Mus musculus: one gene and its partners. The protein of the gene in region 2 purifies or fractionates together with the protein of the main gene of each other region. This does not show direct contact. Links are inferred from orthologs where the notes say so. Each region holds a gene or a part of one and is shown on either strand. Other genes may lie near its edges.

Evidence for each region.
Region 1: the proteins of Sod1 (region 2) and Hexb purify together in Homo sapiens (affinity purification with mass spectrometry; 3 studies listed by BioGRID and IntAct, with this or other methods). This does not show direct contact. The link is inferred for Mus musculus from reciprocal best matches to the Homo sapiens genes SOD1 and HEXB.
Region 3: the proteins of Sod1 (region 2) and Prdx2 fractionate together in Homo sapiens (co-fractionation; 3 studies listed by BioGRID, with this or other methods). This does not show direct contact. The link is inferred for Mus musculus from reciprocal best matches to the Homo sapiens genes SOD1 and PRDX2.
Region 4: the proteins of Sod1 (region 2) and Tpi1 purify together in Homo sapiens (affinity purification with mass spectrometry; 3 studies listed by BioGRID, with this or other methods). This does not show direct contact. The link is inferred for Mus musculus from reciprocal best matches to the Homo sapiens genes SOD1 and TPI1.
Region 5: the proteins of Sod1 (region 2) and Hspe1 purify together in Homo sapiens (affinity purification with mass spectrometry; 3 studies listed by BioGRID, with this or other methods). This does not show direct contact. The link is inferred for Mus musculus from reciprocal best matches to the Homo sapiens genes SOD1 and HSPE1.
Region 6: the proteins of Sod1 (region 2) and Tkt purify together in Homo sapiens (affinity purification with mass spectrometry; 3 studies listed by BioGRID, with this or other methods). This does not show direct contact. The link is inferred for Mus musculus from reciprocal best matches to the Homo sapiens genes SOD1 and TKT.

Annotation. Positions count from the first base shown.
Region 1 is NC_000079.6:97,175,831-97,178,594, reverse strand, and holds the end of Hexb (beta-hexosaminidase subunit beta precursor), read left to right. Parts: exon of another isoform or gene 1-540; coding exon 541-715; exon of another isoform or gene 716-1,448; coding exon 1,449-1,539; exon of another isoform or gene 1,540-1,693; coding exon 1,694-1,798; exon of another isoform or gene 1,799-2,005; coding exon 2,006-2,066; 3' UTR 2,067-2,264; downstream 2,265-2,764. UniProt on the Homo sapiens protein: Hydrolyzes the non-reducing end N-acetyl-D-hexosamine and/or sulfated N-acetyl-D-hexosamine of glycoconjugates, such as the oligosaccharide moieties from proteins and neutral glycolipids, or from certain mucopolysaccharides.
Region 2 is NC_000082.6:90,219,323-90,223,561, reverse strand, and holds the start of Sod1 (superoxide dismutase [Cu-Zn]), read right to left. Parts: upstream 2,801-4,239; 5' UTR 2,705-2,800; coding exon 2,633-2,704; intron 783-2,632; coding exon 686-782; intron 1-685. UniProt on the Homo sapiens protein: Destroys radicals which are normally produced within the cells and which are toxic to biological systems.
Region 3 is NC_000074.6:84,968,493-84,972,421, forward strand, and holds the start of Prdx2 (peroxiredoxin-2), read left to right. Parts: upstream 1-1,129; 5' UTR 1,130-1,270; intron 1,271-1,659; exon of another isoform or gene 1,660-1,747; 5' UTR 1,748-1,749; coding exon 1,750-1,852; intron 1,853-1,943; coding exon 1,944-2,097; intron 2,098-2,794; coding exon 2,795-2,917; intron 2,918-3,069; coding exon 3,070-3,200; intron 3,201-3,929.
Region 4 is NC_000072.6:124,811,359-124,815,559, reverse strand, and holds the start of Tpi1 (triosephosphate isomerase), read left to right. Parts: upstream 1-1,401; 5' UTR 1,402-1,437; coding exon 1,438-1,552; intron 1,553-2,646; coding exon 2,647-2,770; intron 2,771-2,854; coding exon 2,855-2,939; intron 2,940-3,023; coding exon 3,024-3,156; intron 3,157-3,592; coding exon 3,593-3,678; intron 3,679-3,955; coding exon 3,956-4,043; intron 4,044-4,172; coding exon 4,173-4,201. UniProt on the Homo sapiens protein: Triosephosphate isomerase is an extremely efficient metabolic enzyme that catalyzes the interconversion between dihydroxyacetone phosphate (DHAP) and D-glyceraldehyde-3-phosphate (G3P) in glycolysis and gluconeogenesis.
Region 5 is NC_000067.6:55,086,815-55,090,947, forward strand, and holds the start of Hspe1 (10 kDa heat shock protein, mitochondrial), read left to right. Parts: upstream 1-1,333; 5' UTR 1,334-1,595; coding exon 1,596-1,598; intron 1,599-2,236; coding exon 2,237-2,401; intron 2,402-3,898; coding exon 3,899-3,988; intron 3,989-4,133. Other genes in the region: Hspd1 (60 kDa heat shock protein, mitochondrial), read right to left, coding at 1-125. UniProt on the Homo sapiens protein: Co-chaperonin implicated in mitochondrial protein import and macromolecular assembly. Together with Hsp60, facilitates the correct folding of imported proteins.
Region 6 is NC_000080.6:30,559,131-30,562,630, forward strand, and holds part of Tkt (transketolase), read left to right. Parts: intron 1-621; coding exon 622-735; intron 736-1,456; coding exon 1,457-1,554; intron 1,555-3,500. UniProt on the Homo sapiens protein: Catalyzes the transfer of a two-carbon ketol group from a ketose donor to an aldose acceptor, via a covalent intermediate with the cofactor thiamine pyrophosphate.

The DNA of each region.
Region 1 (2,764 bases), on a different chromosome or scaffold from region 2:
GGACTGGAGAGATGGCTCAGTGGTTTAAGAACACTGATTGTTCTTCCAGAGGTCCTGAGTTCATATCCCAGCAACCACATGGTGACTCACAACCATCTGTAATGAGATCTGATGCCCTCTTCTAAAGTGCAGGCTTACACGCAGGCAGAATGCTATATACACAATAAATAGGTAAATCAATATATACTTTTAAGAAGTATTTTTTTCTGACAAAATTATTTCTTACAAGCCCAGCTGCCACTGTTACCTTTCTAGGGGGCTGGTGACGTCTCATGGTTCAAGGTTAAGTAGAATATTGCTGTGGTAGAAATAGATTTGAGGTGCAAATCTTACCCATCTCTGAAATATTAGCTATAGTCAAAAGTTAAATATCCAACTTTAAAGGTTAATGTGAATAGCACATGGCACTGATCAAGAAAAAAAGGATGTATGATTTCTCTAAGATCTTAGAAATTTATGTTTACCAATCATGAGCCCATGAACCTGTAAGATTGTATTTACTGGACCTAATTCTGTGATTGCAATCCGTACCTCTAACAGCTTCAGCCGGGCACAGTAGTCGAAGTGTGGAAGAGTGAGCATTATTCATATGAGCTAAAGCAAGTCACAGGCTCTGGCTTCCCTGCCATCCTTTCTGCTCCTTGGTACTTAGACCTGATCAGCTATGGGCAAGACTGGAAAAACTACTACAAAGTTGAGCCCCTTAATTTTGAAGGTAAGCAAAGCAAGCGTCATGTAACTCCCACTCCTGAATCTAATCTGGATACTTCTCCACTGTCCACTGTCCTGAGGGCGACAACGTGTAGCCTGAAGGAAATACATAGCAGGCCCTTAGATTCTGCCCCTGTTTTCATGGAGTTGCTCTTTGTATCTGAGATGTCTAAGTGCGTTAATTTTGAAAGACACCTACGTTGCACGTAACTCCTAAGTGAGGCTTTTGGTCCCTTTACTAGCAATTCTATTTTATATAGTTTTTGTATTTCAGTCTTTAGAAAATGATTATATGATTAAAAGTTTCAAAAATATTGATCCACTAGAAACTATGACTTTCTCTAGAAAGCATTTTCAGGATCAAAAAATAAATAAATAAATATAAATATATTTTTATAAATACATATTTATAAAAAAATAGTTCTTAAATACTCTTTCTTGTTTTGTTATGAAATACCAAGGAATAAGTATAGTGGTAAACCCATTGAAATGAAGCTTGTATTTTCTCAAACACCACTAATAGGAAATGCAGGGAGGGGTTGAATGTGGGGGACCCTAGGAGAAGCACCTGCGCCCCAGGCTCACCACAATCCTCTATTATGTGGAAGAGCACTGAGCCAGGGTGGGAGTAAAGGCTCTGCTGCCTACAGGAGGGTACAGAGCAGTGATGTAGGATGACTCTGGAAAGGAAACCAGGGTTGTACAGCTTAATCTCTCTCTTAACCACCGTCATGCAGGCTCTGAGAAGCAGAAACAACTTGTTATTGGTGGAGAAGCTTGCCTGTGGGGAGAATTTGTGGATGCAACTAACCTTACTCCAAGATTATGGTAAGGAATTAAAGTGGGGCCAGCTGGCTTGAAGGATGCCTTGGCTTTTATTCTCCATGTAAGCAGGAGAGAGCTCCTAATCTCCTTATGCAGTTGACTTAAGGAAAAAAAAAAAGTCTAGACTGCTTTGGAAACTGCATATTTTAAAATTCAGGCCTCGAGCAAGCGCTGTTGGTGAGAGACTCTGGAGCCCTAAAACTGTCACTGACCTAGAAAATGCCTACAAACGACTGGCCGTGCACCGCTGCAGAATGGTCAGGTGAGACACTTCCTTCCTGATCTAGGATCTCTTCCATTCACTGTCACTAGCCCATGGAAGATATATTTCAATATAACTGCCATCTTAAGGGAGTTAATAGCTTAAATTAGAATATTAAAACATTGCAAAGGTGGGGGAGGATTTGCTAAGGTGCCATGAGACAGGAGGCCACCATCTAAAATATCTCTCTGTGTTGTCTGTCTACAGCCGTGGAATAGCTGCACAACCTCTCTATACTGGATACTGTAACTATGAGAATAAAATATAGAAGTGACAGACGTCTACAGCATTCCAGCTATGATCATGTTGATTCTGAAATCATGTAAATTAAGATTTGTTAGGCTGTTTTTTTTTTAAATAAACCATCTTTTTATTGATTGAATCTTTCTATCCCTGAATCAAACACTGAATCTTTTATGTGAGCAGCTTAAGAAAATAAAAGGAAAAGCCTTGCACTAGCACTCCAGAGGGCTGCCCTGTGTGGATACTGTCATCTTGCAATGGTTTAAAAGAGAGATGTCAGGCTAGAAAGAAGGCTGAGGTATTTAAGATCACTCTTGCAGAGGACCCGAGCTCAGGCCCTGGATCTCCGTAATCACACCACAATTCCAGCTCCAGGGGGATGGAACATCTCAAAAGTAAAACAAGAAATGTCTAAACGAGGTCCGCTCCTCACAGGCCCAGGCTTCTGGACTCTGCTCCCGGGGGTGGTGCTGTTTGGGGAGGCTTAGGCAGTGTATCTTGGCTTCAGGAAGTTCATCACTAGGTGGACTTTGAGAGCTCATTGCCTTGCTTCCTGCTGAGAAAAGAAACCTTTTTTTTTTCCTAAGCTGCCCTGGCCAGGTTATTTTATCCCAGCACCAGAGATGGCAGAGATAACCGGGGCCCAGCTGTGGTGCAATATAGCAAAGTACACCCAACAGAATTAGAATGGCAGCTCCAAGGGTCTTGTCAAGTTCTTTCCAC
Region 2 (4,239 bases):
CAAATTATGGCACATAGCACACAGGTTGATGGTACATGCCTTTAACACAGCACACACAAGACTAAATTCCAGGCCACCGTGGGCTATGTGGAGAAGGGAAGAAGGCAGGGGAGAAGGAGAGGAAAGGAAAAGGCTCTCGCAACATGGATGAGGCTCTTAAATGACGGTAAGCAAATTCAGATCATTACTCCAATATGGTAAAAGTTCACTAACTGCAATTTAAGCCACTACTTTTTACTGACTTGATTCTAATCCCAAATAGAGAAAATAAATCTTACTTAAGCATTTATATTGAATCTTCAGTTTTTGTCACTTCTGTCCCGCTATGCCTCTCATGCTAAGGCATGGTTGTCCTTAGACACTCTGCCTAATGCATCCATCCTCAACGCCCAGCTCCAAACACCCAAATAAGCACCCAATAAACACCCAGAATAAGCAAGGTGCTGCTTAATTATAATTACAATGAAGAAAAATCACCTTCTTTACCTTCCCACACTTAAGGAAGCAAGCAATACTTGATACTAAATAAAATACTTTTGTGGCTACTTTCCAAGGTTGACCTAAGTGGTCATTTTAACTTTATCTAAAAGAAAAAGAAAACAAACGAGATAGTTTTAAATGGTTAGTAATTGGGTCCTGACTCAGTTCCTTTCCATCACTGGTCACTAGCCAGCCTAGGACCTACCTTGTGTATTGTCCCCATACTGATGGACGTGGAACCCATGCTGGCCTTCAGTTAATCCTGTAATTTGTCCTGACAACACAACTGGTTCACCGCTTGCCTTGATTTAAAAAAATACAAAAATGAAGACATCAAGTTTGAGTGTAAATACTCCTGCACCAGGGCTGTTGCTGGGTTACACCCTAACCAAGCACAGTAAAAAGCTCAAGTCAAAACACACAACAGTGAAAATCAAACCTATGTTCAGATCCAAGTAGACCCACTTCCTACAGGGTGGCTCTGGAGACGCTCAGCTCTAGGCCTCTCTCTCCCTGTCACACTTCTCCTAACACTTGCTGCCAGATGCCATGTGTGCAGGCACCTGGACTGAACAGCATTTAGAAAGCACCAGGTGGAACAAACAGGGGCTACTGAATGCCAGGCCTGGGGAAGAGATGGCTACTGCACTGTCAGACTTGACTCTTACAGAACACTGGCTGCCGAGAACCCTGTTCTCCACATTCAGTGATTTTATCAGTTCCCCTATTTTTATTTAGTGGTCAGAAAATGCCTTTGTCCTACTGCCTGTGGAGATCCATTTGGGTCTAACCAGAGCTACCTTAAAAAAAAAATCTCATTAGCTATCCAAATCTAGAAAATTTGCCACTTAACAAAAAAGAAAAGAACACCCAAAATTCAAATTAGTACTGCTCCAGAAAGTGTAGCAATAGGGAGAAAATGTAAGAGCAACCGACCAACAAGCAAGGACAATCATTTTTTAGGTTTTTTTTTTTTTAAATGTCCAACTTTTGCAACAGAATAAGGGAATATGAACTTTGGGTAGAAAAATCTGATTCTGAAAAGTTGGCAACAGGTTAAATCAACCAGCTTTGATTACAACTGCCAATCTGGAATGCTTAACTATCGTTTCATTGGGTACAAAGGGCACCAGCGATGTGTAGTTTGCAGCGTCACAAAAATAGTGCGAGCTGCTCTGGCATGGCATGGTGGAAGATGACAGAAACCCACACACAGGGGTAAGACCCAGCCGAACTTCGTCTTTCTCACAGTGAATTACGTGGGGAGGAGAAAAAGACAAAAACAAAAAACTTCCACAGGAAAACAACAAAACGCATTTCAATGCCAAGAAACTGCTGGAAACGAGGCTAGTTACGAAAAACTCTAAATTGCCGTTATCAGTTCTCGTCGTAAACCAAACACTTGGGATTCACTATGGTGTCTGCCTTCTCACACGTATGTCCACCACTTCAGAGAGCACATAACGCTCATTTATCAAATATTCTCTCGGGATTAAGGTGAATACAACAACGGTAACCTCCCTAAGGCTCTGGACACAACCTTACCACACACATCTTCCCTGTGACGCATGTGTTTTTGCAGGGTCACAGTATTTTCGAAAATATCTCTATGTACTTTTCCAAAATGTGCTCAGAAACTCGCTGTGGTAGAAAAAACCCACAGCCGGGTCTCTCTCTGGAGTGCAAAGCAAGGGACGGCTGTCCAAGGCCATCTCTTTCTTTCCGCCTTGCGACACGACCCTGACCTAGTACAGAACAGCCCAGGACTTTGCTTTAAAGTGCCGCAAACGCGTCCTGCGGCCTTAGTCCGGTCTGGCACCACCGGGTTCAAATATTCTTACAACAATCGCAGCCGGTGGCCACGGGGCTCTGAGCCTGTGGGACACGGACACCGGAAAAGCAGCAGCCCCAGAAGGATAACGGATGCCAAGCCGGCTCTCCCGGGCAGGCCCAGCCGCTCCGGGGCGCGGGGAGGCCCCCGCCCGCCCGGAAGGCCCCGCGGCGCCCCGGGCCTCGCTTCCCGGCGCCCAGCCCCTGCCCCAGGCCACGGTGACTCAGCACTTAGCGGGCTCAGGCCGTGGCGGGGGCGTGGCGTGCTCCCGCACAGGTGCGCCGCGTCACCGCGGCCTGCGCCCCGCGCCCCGGGCCTTGCCTTCTGCTCGAAGTGGATGGTTCCCTGCACCGGACCGTCGCCCTTCAGCACGCACACCGCTTTCATCGCCATGCTTCCCCGGGAGACGCGCGGCGGCCTCCTCCGGAGGGACCAGAGAGAGCAAGACGAGAAGCCGACGGACGGAAGGCGCCGCAGGAAAGGACCGCGCAAAAAAACGAGGCCCTGGCGCCACGGAGCTTTTATAGGCCTGAGTCTGACCACGCCCACCTTGGCACGGAACCAATCGCTACCCGCGGCCTCCGCCCGCCCTTCGTGGAGCTCCCTGGCCGCGGGGCACGCTGGGGGCGGGGCGGAGGGTAGCTCCGGCTCCTGGAGCGTGCGGACTGAGAAAGTTCCCGAGGAGCCTGAGCGGGGAAAGTCGCTATTGTCTTCTAACTGTGACGTCGGCCGAGTCGCCGCGGAAACCGAGAACACGAGGCCCGCGTGCGCGCCTGGAAGGTCTGAACCCACTGTGTCTGGAAATGCGGATTGTCACTGACTTTGCACAGCGCGCCTCGGTTGCAGTGTGAAAGTTGAGATGCGCCAAGATGGATGCCCAGTGTCATTTCCAGCTTTATTTTCTCATGATGTCTAAAATGTGTAAAGCCCATGTTCTATCTCTAGACACACCCCCGTTTCTTACTTATTTTTTACTTCTTTTATTTTTGTTACTAGAGCTGGAGATTAGACAGTCCCCACCCCCCACCCCGCCCCCTGCATGACAGACAAGTGCTCTGCCAGTTAAGACACACACACACACACACACACACACACACACACGCAAAACACAAGAAAATCAAGAGGAAGGAAGACCAACGTGTGGATACTTCATTCCTCCTTAAAATAACGAACAAAATACCCATGGACGGAGTTACAGAGACACAGTTTGGAGCTGAGACAAAAGGATGGACCATCCAGAGACTGCCCCACCTGGAGATCCGTGCCATAATCAGCCACCAAATGCAGACACTATTGCGTATGCCAGCAAGATTTTGCTGAAAGGACCCTGATATAGCTGTCTCGTGTAAGGCTTTGCCAGTGCCTGGCAAATACAGAAGTGGATGTTCACAGTCATCTATTGGATGGAACACAGGGCCCCTAATGGAGGAGCTAGAGAAAGTACCCAAGGAGCTGAAGGGGTCTACAACCCTATAGGTGGAACAACAATATGAACTACCCAGTACCTCCGGAGCTCGTGTTTCTAGCTGCATATGTAGCAGAAGATGGCCAACTCGACAATCACTGGGAGGAGAGGCCCTTGGTCTTGCAAATTTATATGCCTCAGTACAGTGGAATGCCAGGGCCAAGAAGTGGGAGTGGGTGGGGAGGGGAGCAGGGGGGCGTGGTATAGGGGACTCCCCAGATAGCATTTGAAATGTAAATGAAGAAAATAATAAAAATTTGAAAAAAAAAAAGACACACATACCTTTTTAAAAATATCACACTGTGTACCTTTGGCTCTCATGGAACTCATTGTGTAGAACAGACAGGCTGACCTTGAACTCACAGAGATCTCCCTGGCCTCTGCCTCTCAGTTGCTGGGGTTAGAGGGGTTCTTTTTTAATTTTTGAGATAGGGACTAAACTTGAATTTAAGATCCTCCTGCC
Region 3 (3,929 bases), on a different chromosome or scaffold from region 2:
CAAGCTGGCCTCCAAGTCCTTGGGTAGCCAAAGATGTCTTTGAATTTCAGGTCCCTACTCCTCCCAAATGCTAGGATTGTAGGTGTGTACGGGTACAGTGGATTATGCAGCGCTGGGGAAGGATCAAAACTTCGGACATGCTGGGCCAGTGCTCCACCAACTGAGTACCAAATGCAATCCCAACCCTTCATCAGAATTCTTCACTGATACTTCCTCATGTAGATGAACTCACAAAGGCTGGTGCCCCACACCCTTCCTCAGCAGATCTTTGCCAAATGGCATCCCCTTTCCCTATTCTTCCCTTAGGCCTTTTGCTGTTCCCTTTTCACTGTCTCACAGTCCCTGTGACTTTAACTGTGCTAGTCATTCCAGCTGTGTTGGTTCTTACCACCTCAAGCTGACTGGCCAGTTTCTTTCTCTGCCTCCACCCTTCTAGCACTATGTTAATAGGTTGTTTATTAGACAGGCAGTGTTTAATATAATTATCAGATGACCAAGGAAGCTGCGGGGCAAGAAGTTGAGAACAAAAGGTAGTACGGTTGGGGCATGGCTGTAAATTTTCAATAAAGTGAAACGGAACAAAATAAAACAAAACAATAACTCACAGACGAGAAATCACACTCAGAGAAAAAGTGCCCAGTTCCTTGAGACCCAGCCTGCACTGAGCTGGGCAGGGATCTGAAGTCAGCCAGAGAGGGTCTGTTTGTAGGGCCTTGGCCAAGTGAGGCCTTCGGGGGTTGGGGTGGGGAGGACACCTTTTCATAGCGTAACTCCCGTCCACCTGCTAGTTTACCCTTTTGTCGCTGCAGCGTCAGCAGCTCCCAGGTATCACCTTCACCGTGCGGGCCAAAGTATTGGTAGTCTGGGTCGATCTGAGTAGGGGACACCAGACCTAGGAGCACTAGGGGAGTCAGCAACGGAGCCAAGTGGCTCCGGGCCATGCCCGGATTCCAACCGACCCCAACGCGCCCCGTGGCCGAGGCTCGCGAGGAGCCCACAGCACAGACAATCTTGGCGTCCGAAAGGGCACACCCCACCCAACCCTTGTGAAAGCGTGTGGACCGGGCCACGCGGCGCCTTCCCCTCACCCCCCCGGCAGCCGCAATGGATCCGACCGCGGCGCTGTCCCGCCCACCTCCCCGCGCACTGCCTGGTGTGGTTTGGGCCACGCATAAAAGGTTCTCCGGCCTAGGGCTCTCTCGGTTTTGAGATCTCTTTCCTGTCTCTACCCGTGTCTGGACGTCCGTGTGTCCGGCTCTTGCTCACGCAGGTATGAAAACCCAGAATGCACACGAATGGGAGGAGCCCCACTAGTGTGGTGCAGGCCTCATCACGACCTCTATGCTTGGAGGTCTTTGTTTTCCATGTTCAATGGTGGCCGCTTTGTCCTTGCCCGGGAAACCAAGGCCCGAGCCCTGGCTTGCAGGCTGGATCACCGAGCTCGGCAGTCCATCGCTCTTAGCTTAGCCGTCCTATTCTGGAACTAGGAGCTCACTTCCCCCTCCACCCGCACTCGGTCTGACTCCATAATTTGGGTAGCAGCGGTGACCCATCATTCGTTCCCTGTTTAGGGGGGCGGGTATTCAGAGGCCTTGCAGACTTTATACTGGGAGGGTGAATATGAGCGCTCCTTCCACCTCTCTCGGTTTTACTATCTAGACTTAGCACCAAAAGTGACCTTGGAAAGGCAAGACAAAGGATCTTCTAAGGCTCTAAAGACCAAGCTTGTGTGGGTCTCTGATTTCAGTCATGGCCTCCGGCAACGCGCAAATCGGAAAGTCGGCTCCTGACTTCACGGCCACAGCGGTGGTGGATGGTGCCTTCAAGGAAATCAAGCTTTCGGACTACAGAGGTGAGGCTGAGCGGAGTGGGAGCAGGTGGGGTCAGGGTCTACATGTGAAAGAAGTTAGCACTGACTTCCCTTCCGTTCTCCTCTTCCCTAGGGAAGTACGTGGTCCTCTTTTTCTACCCACTGGACTTCACTTTTGTTTGCCCCACGGAGATCATCGCTTTTAGCGACCATGCTGAGGACTTCCGAAAGCTAGGCTGCGAGGTGCTGGGAGTGTCTGTGGACTCTCAGTTCACCCACCTGGCGTGGTAAGGGGCTGCAGGAGGAGGGTTGCAGGGGTCTTGAGGTAGGTGGTGAAGTGGGAGGTGCAGAGAGGATGAAGGACCGCCCAAATTATAGGGACAAACTGTGTCTTCCCGTTTTTCATCTTATAAAGAATGGAAACAATGACACCCAAGCCCACACGAAGATGATAGTAATTAGCATTTGGCACCTTGTTGGAAGGTACCTGCCAAAGGAGTCTCAGTTCTCTGGAGACAGGCTGCCTTGCTGTATTTTGCTATTCTCAATAATGATGGGTTGTGCTCCATACCAGAGCTAGATGGTGATGGGAAGAATCCCCCTGTGTGCGCGCACACACAAGTCTTTCAGAACTAGAAGTCAATAATTCCAGGGCTCATTCTTGCAAGGCAAGTGCCCTGCCTCTGAGCTCCATGTCTGCTGTTGGCTAATCACTTTCATACGGGGTCTCTACTGCAAGTTGCTGGAGCCCACGGGCACAAGTGAAGCCATTTGAAGAGGATGCTTTATCTGGAGCCATTCTCCTCCCAGCTGCACTGCCATCCCACTGGGTGGGGTGGGTGGAGCACCCCGGCCTTGCTTTAAGTCCTTTATCTCCTGTCTCCAGCACTCCCACTCCAGCCCTTATCACTCTGGAGGCCCATGGGGGAGACTTCTACTATCCTGGGCATCCTAAGGCACCAACCATGTCTCTCTCACCTTCAGGATCAATACCCCACGGAAGGAGGGAGGCTTGGGCCCCCTGAATATCCCTCTGCTTGCTGACGTGACTAAAAGCTTGTCCCAGAATTACGGCGTGTTGAAAAATGATGAGGGCATTGCTTACAGGTACAGCAGGGACCTCAGCCCAGCTCCAGGAGCCCCCTCCTCAAAGCTAAAGGGACCACTGTGTCTGGTGGGGGTGTGTGTGGGAGTGTCCCCTTCCTGTTCTGGCAGCAGGTGGTCTCCCAGATCCTCACTGTGGGCCCTCATGTCTTCAGGGGTCTCTTTATCATCGATGCCAAGGGTGTCCTTCGCCAGATCACAGTCAATGACCTACCTGTGGGACGCTCTGTAGACGAGGCTCTCCGCCTAGTCCAGGCCTTTCAGTATACAGACGAGCATGGGGAAGGTGAGTATTCACAAATGGAAAGGCTGCCTCAGCTCTGCCCAGCATGAATGAATTGTCTGCTCCAGCATCTTTGTGGGATAAACATTAAAGTCCCATGCCAGGGCTGAAGAGATGGCTCAGCAGGTAAAAGCACTGGCTGCTCTTTCCGAGGACCGGGGCTGGATTCTTAGCATCTACATGGTGGCTCATAATCATCTATAATTCCAGTCTCGGGGAATCTGATGCTCTCTCCTGACCTCTTCCTGCACCAGGCGTGCACATGGTACACAGATAAACATGTATACAAGATGAACTGGAGAGTTGGCTCAGTGGTTAAGGGCACTTGTTCTTGCAAAAGAGCAAATTCTAGCCCTATCACCCAAGTCTATGCTCACCACATCCTGGGGTACCAAGCACACTCGGTGCACAGACACATAAAATAAAAAAAATAATAATAAAAGACAGGATCTTGGGCTGGCGAGATGGCTCAGAGGGTAAGAGCACTGACTGTTCTTCTAAAGGTCCTGAGTTCAAATCCCAGCAACCATATGGTAGCTCACAACCATCCGTAATGAGATCTGACACCCTCTTTTGGGGTGTCTGAAGACAGCTACAGTGTACTTATCTACTAATAATAAATAAACCTTAAAAAAAGAAACAGAAACCCAGGATCTTATGTCCTGATGGTAGAAGTGGTAGAATGAATAGGATATGGCATGGTGGCACACACCTTCAAAAGCAAAATATACA
Region 4 (4,201 bases), on a different chromosome or scaffold from region 2:
GCCCTCAGCCCTTCCACTTGAAGCAGGGGACAGACCATCTGGCATGAGGGACGGCTGAGGGATGGACTTCAGCCCCTGCTCTGTACCCTTTTTGTTTTTGTCCCCAGCAGTGGGAAGGAGCTGGAGGTCATAGGAGAATGGCCAAACAAAGAGGAGGGGTACTCATTAGACTCTGGGGACAGAGCAGGGATGGGACAGGAGGGGCCAACTGCCTGTCCACAGTGGGACCTTGTTGCTTCCTTCCCCTGCCCCTTGAATCCACAGTGCTCTGCTTCTCTGTGATGGCCCAACCCCTGATGTGGGGCGGGCTCTTACCTGTGTGTGTGTGTGGATGTGGCTTTATGCATCTTTCCAGGGGAGGGAGCGACTGCGCCTCCCCTCCCCTTAAGTGTTTGCTCCCTTGTGGTGGGGCAGAGGAGGCTCTGAGGGAAATAGGACCCTCCCCACACCCTTTGCCCTTCTGCCTCAGCCTCCGGTCTGTCTTTATGGTCCTCTGGAAAAATGCCAAAATACATGATGTGAATAAAAGTACGGGGGCTGACTGGTTTCAGTTCTTTGGGGGAGACTTACTAGTTCTGGGGAGGATTACTGGAAGGGGAAGGTTTAGAGAGGCCCAACTGGGGTCCTTTGCCGTCCCCCCCCCCCAGGCAATTTCCTTTTCTCTAGCTCTAGAAATGCTCAGAAAACTGAGGTGGGGGGATGGGAAATAAAGGGAAAATTCAGAAGCGAGGCTGCATCACCCCCCCCCCCCCAACTGACCATGCACTTGGTCTAGCCCCACTGTTGCTGGGCAAATGAAGGACCTAGGGCAGGGTGGGCAGTCCACACTGACTGATATCAGCTGACTCCTTTACACGGCTGCAGCCAGCCTGCCTCCCTCCCTGCCCCCCACACACTAGTGTCCCACTCTGCTCCATTTGGCCAAGGTCTGACAACTGCAAGGACCCCGTAATCACCAGCGACGTTGGTGACACACTTGGCCCCCTTCCTTGTGATTACTGGAAGGGCTCCTCAACCGTGACTTTGCTTTATGCTATGAGGGAATGGGGCGCTTTCGGAGTTGGAAAGGTGCCCTCAACCCCAGGGTCCAAGGCCCTGCTGCTGTCACCTCCACAGGAAATGCCCCTTGGTCTTCTGAAATCCCAAAAAGTTTGTTTCCCTGAGCGCGAGGTTCAACATCTCAACTGTCGAGCCACTGAGGCAGGACGTTTGAGCCCCCTGAACCCTCTAGAACATTGATTGCTCTAGAACGCCAGAACGTCGAAACACCGGGAGGTGGAGAGGCAGATGGAGGGGAAGGCGGAGCAGCAAGGGGCCGGGCTAACCATGGCGGAGGGCGGGGAGAAGGAGGAGTTCTGCTTCACAGCCATCTATATAAGTGGCCAGTGGAGAGAGCCGTGCGTTTGTACTGACCTTCAGAGACTTGAGCCTGGTACAATGGCGCCTACCAGGAAGTTCTTCGTTGGGGGCAACTGGAAGATGAACGGGAGGAAGAAGTGCCTGGGAGAACTCATCTGCACCCTGAACGCAGCCAACGTGCCGGCAGGCACCGGTGAGCTCTCTGTTTAGCAGGGGCGGCGGGACGTGGGGGTGGAGGGTCGGGCGTGGCACCACCTGCTCAGTGTCTGAGTGGACCTGGATGGTGGCCTGGGGACAAGAGCCATTTGGTGTCCCGGCAGCAGAGACTTGCTGAAGAGGAAAAGCATTTAAATGCTGCACTGGGTTTGTGGGGCCCGAAAGGGGTTCTTGGGGTTGGGGGCAGGGTGCAAAGAAGATCGCCCTTGGGAGTGGACCGGAGCTGCACCAGTTAGGGGTTAGGGTCGAGAAGAAGAACCAGTGTCGGGTTGGATAAGCAAGTGGCACGTGTCCCCCAGATTGTGAGGGAGGAAGCTGAGCTTGCGCGGGCTCTCAGCTACCTGCCCCCTCGGCCTCTGGCTCCGTGCGTCTCTGCACGTAGCCCGAAACTCCTCCCCGCGCCGTCGTATGCTTAGGCCTCTGAGCTGGGGGCTTCCACATCCCTATCCTTCACAGCATGGGCCACTCCTGCCTTCCACCTTAGGCCCCTAGCAGATGCCAAACATGCTGAGCCGTTGGGGAATTAAAAAAAAAAAAAATTCAGCTCTTCTCAGACTGGAAATAGGAAAACACAAGGTCTCTGTGGGCTAGTCAGTTCCCTGCTGCTCACGACACTACCCCTCCATCCTTCCCGCTTCTACCCACCTAAATCGGGGAACCTGGAGAATGGCCAAAGGGTATTCTCTCTGATCATCCATTTCCCGAAGAGCCCAATACAAACTCCCGCGGTGGACCTCTTATGCTAAAAAATCCTTCCCGGGATGGGTATGTGGGATGGGCTATTTTAGAAAGGGGTTACCCCTGGAGAATGCTGAGTCGAGGAGATGCCCATTCCCAGAATAGCCTGAGGAAATTAGAGCCACAGCTGTTAAAAGAGCAGAGGGCAGGGTAAGGGCCGTGGCCTATCAGAGGCATTGGGAAGGCTCTGGTATTGCTACAGGCCTAGCCTGGGCTCTGTAGTGGACAAAGGTCAACTTTCTGGACTGAAAAACGAAGGAAAGTAGAACCAAGAAAGTGAATGCAAGACCGGGAGCCTGAAGAGTGAGGGGCTTTCTCTGATCTCGTCCTCAGAGGTGGTTTGTGCACCGCCCACCGCTTACATCGACTTTGCCAGACAGAAGCTGGATCCCAAAATTGCTGTGGCCGCACAGAACTGCTACAAAGTGACCAATGGGGCCTTCACTGGGGAAATCAGGTGAGATGGAGGCAGAGAGGGATGTAGAGGGAAAACCTTCCTCGTGAGGGCTTCTTGCCGAACTTTGGTGTGTGTTTGTTTTAGCCCTGGCATGATCAAAGACTTAGGAGCCACCTGGGTCGTGCTGGGGCACTCAGAAAGAAGACATGTCTTTGGAGAATCAGATGAGGTCAGTAAACAGGAGGGGAGATAGGGGATGCTTTGATCCTGGGGGAGAGGGTATCTTACCTACCTAGCATTTGTTCTTCAACAGCTGATTGGCCAGAAAGTGAGCCACGCCCTAGCAGAGGGACTCGGGGTGATCGCCTGCATCGGGGAGAAGCTAGACGAAAGGGAAGCCGGCATCACCGAGAAGGTCGTGTTCGAGCAAACCAAGGTCATCGCAGGTATCTCTGCAGACACGGCTCTCTGAGTCTAGCAAAGGCCACAGGGATGGAGGCGGGAGGTCAAAGGTCCCACAGCCTGCCTGAGTCATACTGACCCCGGGGAAAGAGGGCGACCTGAATGGTTCTTGTCACTGTTCCTACAGAAGGCTCAAACCCCACCTTCAAAAGCTAGCAGGGTCTGTGGGTAAAGCCTGAGGCCCTGAGTTTGAGTCCTCCAAAGACAGCCACGTGGTAGGAAAGATCCAGCTTCTACAAGTTGTCCTCTGCCCTCATATGTGTGCTATAGCTTGTACACACGCACGCGCACACACGCACGCACAAGTTGTTTCTAAAAGGGGGAAGGAGAAGCCCACCAGGGGCTGTAGGCCATAACTGTTATAACAGGAGAGCTTGGCGGGTCAGCTCCTTCCTACTCACTCTCCTCTCTGCCCCACAGATAATGTGAAAGACTGGAGCAAGGTGGTCCTGGCCTATGAACCTGTGTGGGCCATTGGGACTGGCAAGACGGCAACCCCTCAGCAGGTAACTACCCAGAGCTCCTCAGCCTGTCCGGCTTTAACAGACTCACACAGCTATGGAGCCCATCCAAGCCCCTTTAGAGACAGAGGGCCCCCAAACTCACCAAGGAGAGTGACTTTGCCAAAAATGTTCATTCCAAGCCTGGTGGGATTGGAGCCTTGCCACTCTCTGGTCCCGGGGCTTTTCTGGAAACTCAACTCTATGTGAGAACCAGTGGTTTTTACTCCTTGAATGATAGATAGGAAGGAGCTTACTTAGTAGCTCTGCCTCCTCCTTCTAGGCACAGGAAGTACACGAGAAGCTCCGGGGATGGCTGAAATCCAATGTCAATGATGGGGTGGCTCAGAGCACCCGGATCATTTATGGAGGTGAGTGGCTTTGGCTCTAGCTAAGACGGAAATGGGCTAAGACAGACTGAGGCTGCCTTGCACAGAGAGGTGGGGCTTAAGTGTTCTGATCATAGACCTGACCAAACTGTCTTCTTGTTCCTGGTACAGGTTCTGTGACTGGAGCAACCTGCAAAGAG
Region 5 (4,133 bases), on a different chromosome or scaffold from region 2:
TGAAGCATTAAGGCTCGAGCGTCCGCACCAAATTTTACATCTTTGGCATAGGCCCGAGTGAGATGAGGAGCCAGTGCCCGGGACACTGGTCTCATCTGGCGAAGGACTGTGGGTAGTCGAAGCATTTCTGGGGAAGGAAAAAAGAAAAATCACTACAAACTTGTCCAACGGTGCTTCAAAACATGGGAGGCTAGATTGGAGCTGGGCTGTCCTCTGCTAACCACCATGCCTGGGCGCTGCAGATTCAGGGCATAATCTGCTAGCCAACTGATCATGGAGGCTGACCCCAAGCCTGACCAACAGCATAAGCACAAAGCACAGAAAACCACATCCCCATGGCCACCCACTCTGCCCTCTCAAGTTAATCTTTCACTGCCAAAGCGGCCTTGGGAGCAGATCCACTCCGAAAAGTGTCCAAAGGAAAAAAATCAAGTTGGTGCAAGCAAGGCAGGTTCTAAATGCAATTGCCTAGAGAACTACAGAAGTACTCATGACGGTGCAAAACCCTCTGAGTGTGTCGCCAGGTATCCACCCGAAGCTACGGTAACACAGCAGCTAGCAAGGCCGGAGGAAAAGACAGTAGGTCAGTCCAGCCTCGCGGCCCCACGTGTCTTCCCGACCAGGAGCCCCGAGCAAGGTCAAAGTGAACACCGGACCGCCGCGGCCACCGGGGACTAAAGGACCCCGACCACCCTCCCACAGAGTCCTGCAGTGCGCCAGGCGCAGGTGGCACCAGAGGGCCCAAGTTGCTTCCACCCTAGCCCGCCCTTGCTCCGGCGCTCGGCCTGGATCGCGTGGTCCCCGCCACACGTGATGAAACCAGCGTGGCCCCGCTGGGCCTGGACAAGTGAGCCGAGCCTGCGGCGTCGCTGCCAGACTTCTCCCCCTAGTCCTCCGTGCTCGGTCCGCGCTGCAAGCAGCCCCCCGCGAGCGCCGGGGCGCCCTGCACGCCGAGGCCGCGTACCTGCGGGGCGGCGGCAGGAGAGCACGAGGCGAGGCAGGCCGTCTGCGGCGAGTGAGGGACCCAGCTCTGGGCGCGCACCGCAATGAGCCCGAGTCCCCTCCCTCCCCGCCCCGCCCCGCGGCCCCGCGTGTGCGCGCGCGCGCCCCCCGCTCTCTCCCACGCCGGGGCCCTGCAATCTGCATGCGGCGCGCGCGGCCCCGCCCTCCGTACCAGAGCCGCCTCAGCTCTGCGGCCTCAGCCCTCTCCCGCCGCCCTACGCTGGTTCCTGGGCCACGGTCCGTTCTAGAACCTTCCGGAAGGCCCCGCGCGTCCCGTGGGTGAAAGGTCAAGTGGCGTCATTTCCGGGAGGGGGGCTCGTTCTTTCACCTCGGCGGCCGGCCTGGAAAAGCCTAGAAAGTGCTCCCCTTTTCTTCCGCCTCCGGCCGCCCGCGTCGGCCCCCTTGCGCGGAGCCCTCGCCACCAATCGGCGCGCGCGTCGGCGTGGCCGCCCCCTCTCACGCTCGGGGGGCTGAGTGCGCCTGCGCGCTGCGCGGCCTTTTCACGTGTCCCAGCCGGCCAGCAGGACTCTCCTTGCAGCAGCGGCCCGAGTTCAGAGTCCGGAGCTGCGGTGGTGGCGGCGAAGGCGAGAGTCATGGTGAGTGTCTCGTGGTTGGCAGGCCTGCGGGTCCAGTTCGGCCTGCGGCCCACGGCGAACCCTTGTGCGCTTTGGGACTAATAGGACAGGGGTCCGGGGTCTGGTCAGTGTCCGGTGTCCGCCCATGGCTCTGCAGAAGCGAGGCCATTTCTCTCTCCACCATGGCTTTGCCGCACGCACGTGTGCGACAAAGCGTCTGGGGCAGGGGGCGGGAACCCGATGCACACGCAGAAGCCCACCTGCCCTGGCAGGGCTTCAGTGGATGTGTCCTATGTTGGAGAAAGACTAAGATCCAGGCTCGAAAAGTGACGCCACTCCCCCGTTATTCGAATTTTTAAAAAAATTAAAGAAATGTTTGACCTTGGAATAGATCAAGGTGGCGATTGCTGATTAGTAATGAAGACCCCCCCCCACCACCACCACCACACACACACACACACCAGACAGGGAAATGAAACTCAGTTTGTCCTATATAGAGTGGAACACTGAGTATATTCTAAAAGTACACTTGAATTTTCTTGTCCTTTTTGGAACAGGTCAGTTTTGACCTGTTGAGAGTTAAGGCTTGCGGTGGTCTTAACTGTTCGTGTTCTGACACTTCGAACTTACACTCTGTTTGATCACATTTCTCTCCACAGGCTGGACAAGCTTTTAGGAAGTTTCTTCCGCTCTTTGACAGAGTATTGGTTGAAAGGAGTGCTGCCGAAACTGTAACCAAAGGTGGCATTATGCTTCCAGAAAAGTCTCAAGGAAAAGTGTTGCAAGCAACGGTCGTGGCTGTGGGGTCAGGAGGGAAAGGAAAGGTAAACTGGTGCCCCTGGAGTGGTACTGAATTCCAGTGTGATGTGGAAGGAGGGGAATTCCTTTGGTAATTAAAAAAATGAATTACAATGGCATTTTTGGGGGGAAGAATTTCAAGTCAAATTTCAATTCACAAAGAACCTCCCATTCAGGAAAATGACTGTTTTATATTGTTTTAGAATTATTTTATGTTTCTGAAGAAAGGCAAAAGGTATTTGTGTGACGTGTTTGCACATGTCTATATGCTGTGTAGCAGGGGCATCTCCACCTTACTCCTTTGGGGTAAAGTGTTGACTAGTCTGGTTTCTGGGCCTCAACATGTTGCGGGTTACAGCCTTTTTACTCTAGTTTTAGGATCCTGGTTTGGGCTCCCCTACTTTCATAGCAAGTCTACTTACCTGTTTACCCACTGAGCTAACTCTGCAGTGCCCCAAGCTCTAGAGGCTGAAAAGTGCCTGCCTTGATGGTGGCTCATGCCTGTGGCCCAGGTTCTTTGGAGCCTAAGGCAGGTGGACTGTAGAATCTTTTTAGGCCAGCAGGAGGTACAGGATGAGACCATGTCCCAAAAAAGTAAAACAAAATCTTACAATATGAAATAACCTCTGTAGCTATTTTATATCCTGTTCTTCAAATTTTAAATAGACAAAAAGATCGCGCAAGTAGATAAACCCCCACGGCCATTTCAGAGCTGAAGGAGGTATTTATTAATAAGGCACAGAACTAATTCTAAGCACAGGTTGGGAGAAGGGTATAGTGCTGAGGTAGAAGGATCCGGAATTGATGGCCTGTCAATTTTGATATAGACCCTGTCTCCCTCTCCCTTCCCCAAAAAGAAAGGGTGAAGTGGCAGGGGTGGGGGAGCCCAGACACTGAAATAGTTTTAATCTTACACCATTGAGTTTTAGTTGGCATGAGACTTGAGAAGGGAGGTGGAACTACTGTGGGTGTTCTTTACTTAACTAAATCGCGAGAGTATTAGGGGGAGTAGACATTCCACTTCAGTCTCTTGATAGATAACAAGGGCATTCAGTCAGTAAATGTATATTAAACGGAGAAAGGTAATGCCGAATTTTTGTTGAAAGGAATCATACATGATCATTTACCGTCTGGTGGTACAAGCTGCTTTATTTTACTTGGTCTACAGGGTGTGTTAATATTTAACAGTAGAAAGTTAGCCAGCCTTAGTTGTCCACTGAAATGAAGTTTTAGTGAGTGTCTCCTTCATATTGTAACTATGCAATTCTTATATTGTAGGGATCTATATTTAATGTAAATTATATTGCTTAACCACTAATTAGGTACCTAAGAACATACTGGTTTGGGCACATTTCATTAATTTAGTGATTTAAAAGTTACAGAGTTTAATGTGACTGGTTAATGCCTATAATACAAACCTGAGGCAGGAGGCCCCTGGTGTGCATACTGAAACAAAAAGTTCACTGTGTGTCTAATGAACAAGACAAGCAGACTCTTGGCTAACAAGTGACTGTTTTCATCAGAGTGGAGAGATTGAGCCTGTCAGTGTGAAAGTTGGAGATAAAGTTCTTCTCCCAGAATATGGAGGCACCAAAGTAGTTCTAGATGACAAGGTAAGTCAAGCTAAGAATTTTTATTTTATCTATTTTTTTTTTAATTTCGGGGGAGGGGGTGGTTCAAGACTGGGTTTCTCTGTGTAGCCTTGGCTGTCCTGGAACTCACTCTGTAAACCAGGCTGGCCCCGAACTCAGAAATCCA
Region 6 (3,500 bases), on a different chromosome or scaffold from region 2:
CCTTCTTATCTTCTGCCTGAATCCTGTTGTGCTAGCATCCTGGGGACCAAGGCTTGCTCTCCTTATGAGTGACACTCCACTGCAGTTTGGGAGTACAGATACCCTGCCTTTCCTCTTCTAGTAAAAATCACAGCCACAGACCATACCACAATTGCCCCCAAATCCACCTGTCCTCTGGCCTGGCTCGACAGCCTCTCGCTTCCCAGGGCAGGCTGTAGGGCTTAAAACTCCGTCCAAGTATGTTCCATGCCAGAAACGAGGATTAGGGTGGCTGCTGCCTGCTGGAGTGCTGGACTCCCGCGGCTGCACAGCTGTGACCCTGCACCTGTCTGACATGGCGTCTACCCACTTTTGACTGTGGGAACTTTGGGCTGGAAACCAAGAATCTGGAGAGGAATGAAAGGGGAGAAGCCTTCTCTTCTCTGGCTTCCTCATCTGAAATGGATATCCTGGTTGGCCTGCTCGGCCAGACCCCAAGCTCCACGCGTGGTGGGAATGATCCCAGCAGCTCTGCCCATGCGCTGTAGGAATGAACCCAGCGGCCCTGCCCATGCGCTGTAGGAATGATCCCAGCGGCTCTGCCCGTGACCGCCTCCTTGTGCATCCTCCCCACCCCCACAGGGCCATGCAGCTCCCATTTTATATGCAGTCTGGGCTGAAGCTGGCTTCCTACCCGAGGCCGAGCTGCTGAACCTGAGGAAGATCAGCTCTGACTTGGACGGGCATCCTGTCCCGGTAAGTCCCCTGACGGGCAGCCTCCTGGACCCCGGCCTCATCTTCCTGTCCTAGGCGCAAGGGAGAGGAATGAGGCAGGGGAGCCAACTATGATGAGGAGGGAAAGTGAGGGATGGGAGCACGTTGTGTGCTCCCCAGCACGGGGCAAGTTCTTGTACTGACCAAGGATGAACCCCGAGCTTCCCTTACCCCCCCCTCCCCCCACGAGCCCCTGAGCCATGAGTAGGTACTATCACTCAAGAAGAGAGGTCCCTAGAGAGACTTAAAGAGGTGGTACCGTGGGTACAGAGGCACCTAGGCAATGAAGCCGTTTGTACCAAATTGCTCCCAGCACGTGCTGGCACATCGCTGGCACACTGCGATGTCGGTGTTCACTAAGGCCGGATGCTCTCTATCATCTATTATATTTTCTCTATCGCTGACCTCTAGCTTCTGTATGTGGTAAGCTGTGCTTATACACAAGGCCATTAAAGTTCAGAGAGGTTTAGTTTCCAGCCTGACGTCACATAGTTCACTAGGGGACAGGGTTTGGAACTGAACCCACTCCCATAGTGGTTTTGCTGTCTGAATAAGAAGGGCCTTCTTCTGCGGAGAGGGATGCACTCACTGGCTCTGGGTGCGGATGCTGCCCTGACTGACATGGTGGGGGAGGGGAATGTAAGTTGGAAACAAACAGCTCTTTACTGGACCCTTGAATAACTCCGGATCTCTCTTGTGACAGAAACAAGCCTTCACCGATGTGGCCACTGGCTCCCTGGGCCAGGGCCTGGGAGCTGCTTGCGGGATGGCATACACAGGCAAATACTTTGACAAAGCCAGGTAACCCCCGCTCCCTACTTGGTAACGTTGAGAGGGGGGCCTCAGTGGCTCAGGCTGAGCCGGCCCACATTGCCCCCTGGCTGCTCTTCTTGCCTGACTGGGGCTAAGTAAGATAAATACGTTCCGTCTTCTGCTCTCAAAGCCCCGAAGCTGGTGATACAGGCAGCACCTTTTCAGATGAGAGACTTACAGGACAGAGGGAGCCACCCCAGAGTCTGGCTTCCAGGCCAGGTTTGCTCTGAGTACATGAGCTACCACACAGACTCAGTCCAGTGCCTGGACCCTGGCAGTAGCAGAGGAGCCTGCCTCCCACCCCCATGTCTGACTGGCACCAAGAAGCTTGGCCTGGACTCCTTGCCCTTGCATTTGAAGAGGATCAAATTGTGTTCCAGAGGTCTCCGGGGTCCTTGGGTCACCTCCCATTGGCGGGTAAAGAGACTGCAGTGTGTGGGTACAGCCTGGTAGGTAGGTTTAGCTATTCCAGCTAAACCTGGTGGCGGTTTGTAGAACTCCCAGTGCCCTCAGGACAGATTTCAGCCATGTGATCTGCCGTGGACAGGTTGTGTCTCGGAAGCACAGTGTACAGGCTGCTAGGCGTAGCCACTGGTCAGAACAGTACCTCCGGGCCACCATGTGGGAGCGAGGCTGAGTGCTAATTTTCAGCTCGATAATTTTCATCCCTGTGAATGGGAGAGGCGTGAGGATGAAGTAACTAGGGAGAATTCTCACCTAGATCCTCCGGTCTTGCTCGGAGTGTCCAGAAGGCACACCCATAGTCCCCAGGTACCCTGTGGGCAAAGAGCTTCCGAGGAAAACTGGAGGGGACTGGCCCATAGCCAGGGACATCCCACTTCCCTGAAGGCCAACGCCACAGAAGAGTGGCCACAGCCAGGTCCCTCTGAGGACAGGCAGCTGCACGAAGCTTGACTGCTCTCCCTACACACTGGAGAGTACCTACTGTTCGCAGGAAGTTCTTTGCGGGGACAGGGGGGGCTTCAAAGTTAGTCTCTGGGAGAGCCCCAATCCTTCCAGTACCCAGCCTCCAGTCCAGGGTCACTGGGATGACAGCTATTGAGCTTTAGGGCTGGCGTAGCCGCACCCAGAAGTGATTCACTCTGAGGTGATGTGTCTCAGAGAATGAGGTGCATGTTTAAGAACATTTTATCTGGCCTAGAACCATAGATGTGAGTTAATTATTCCCTACAGTTGCTTGAAATAATTCCCCGTGAAGGATCATTTTCTGACCTCAACATAATAGAACAAGCCAGTGTAGAGAGAAGGGCTTTAGTTCCCAGAGGCTGTGTTGGCGTAGAGCCAGGCTTGGCTGAGACCTGGGCCCTCAGACAGTACCCAGAGGGTGGGGGGGACTCAGATCGCTTAGGGCACCAAGAGATTATCAGGCCCAGCCAGGCACCCAGCGGTAGCACCCCGATAGAGCTGCGTGGGCTACTGCCGTGGTATCCCTGTAAGGTCTTTTAAAAGTTTTGTTTTTAAGATCATTTATTCATCAATGATAATTTTTTTAAAAAAATTTCTCAGTGTTTTCAAATTCCTAGTATGTTACTCTTTGAAATTCAAGGACAATAAAACATTGTTCCAGGGTTTTCAAAACTACAATACTTTACACACACGTCTAATAGTCTTTGTGACCTATCATTTGCATAGCTAAAATTCTTATTTACAAGGATAAAATACTCTAAGTTTAGTAGCACTTCCAAAAAGACCTGCATCCTAGAGAGCTGTTCAATGAAAAACATAATTTAAAATTCAGATCTCCCAGAAGACAACAGCCCCTCATGGAATGACATGTTGATATTGCCAGTTCAGCACTGAGCAGTCATGAGAGAGAGAGAGAGAGAGAGAGAGGGAGAGAGAGAGAGAGAGAGAGAGAGAGCATGCATATACCTTAGCTCTTCATTTTATTATTTATCTATATTTTGCTAAGT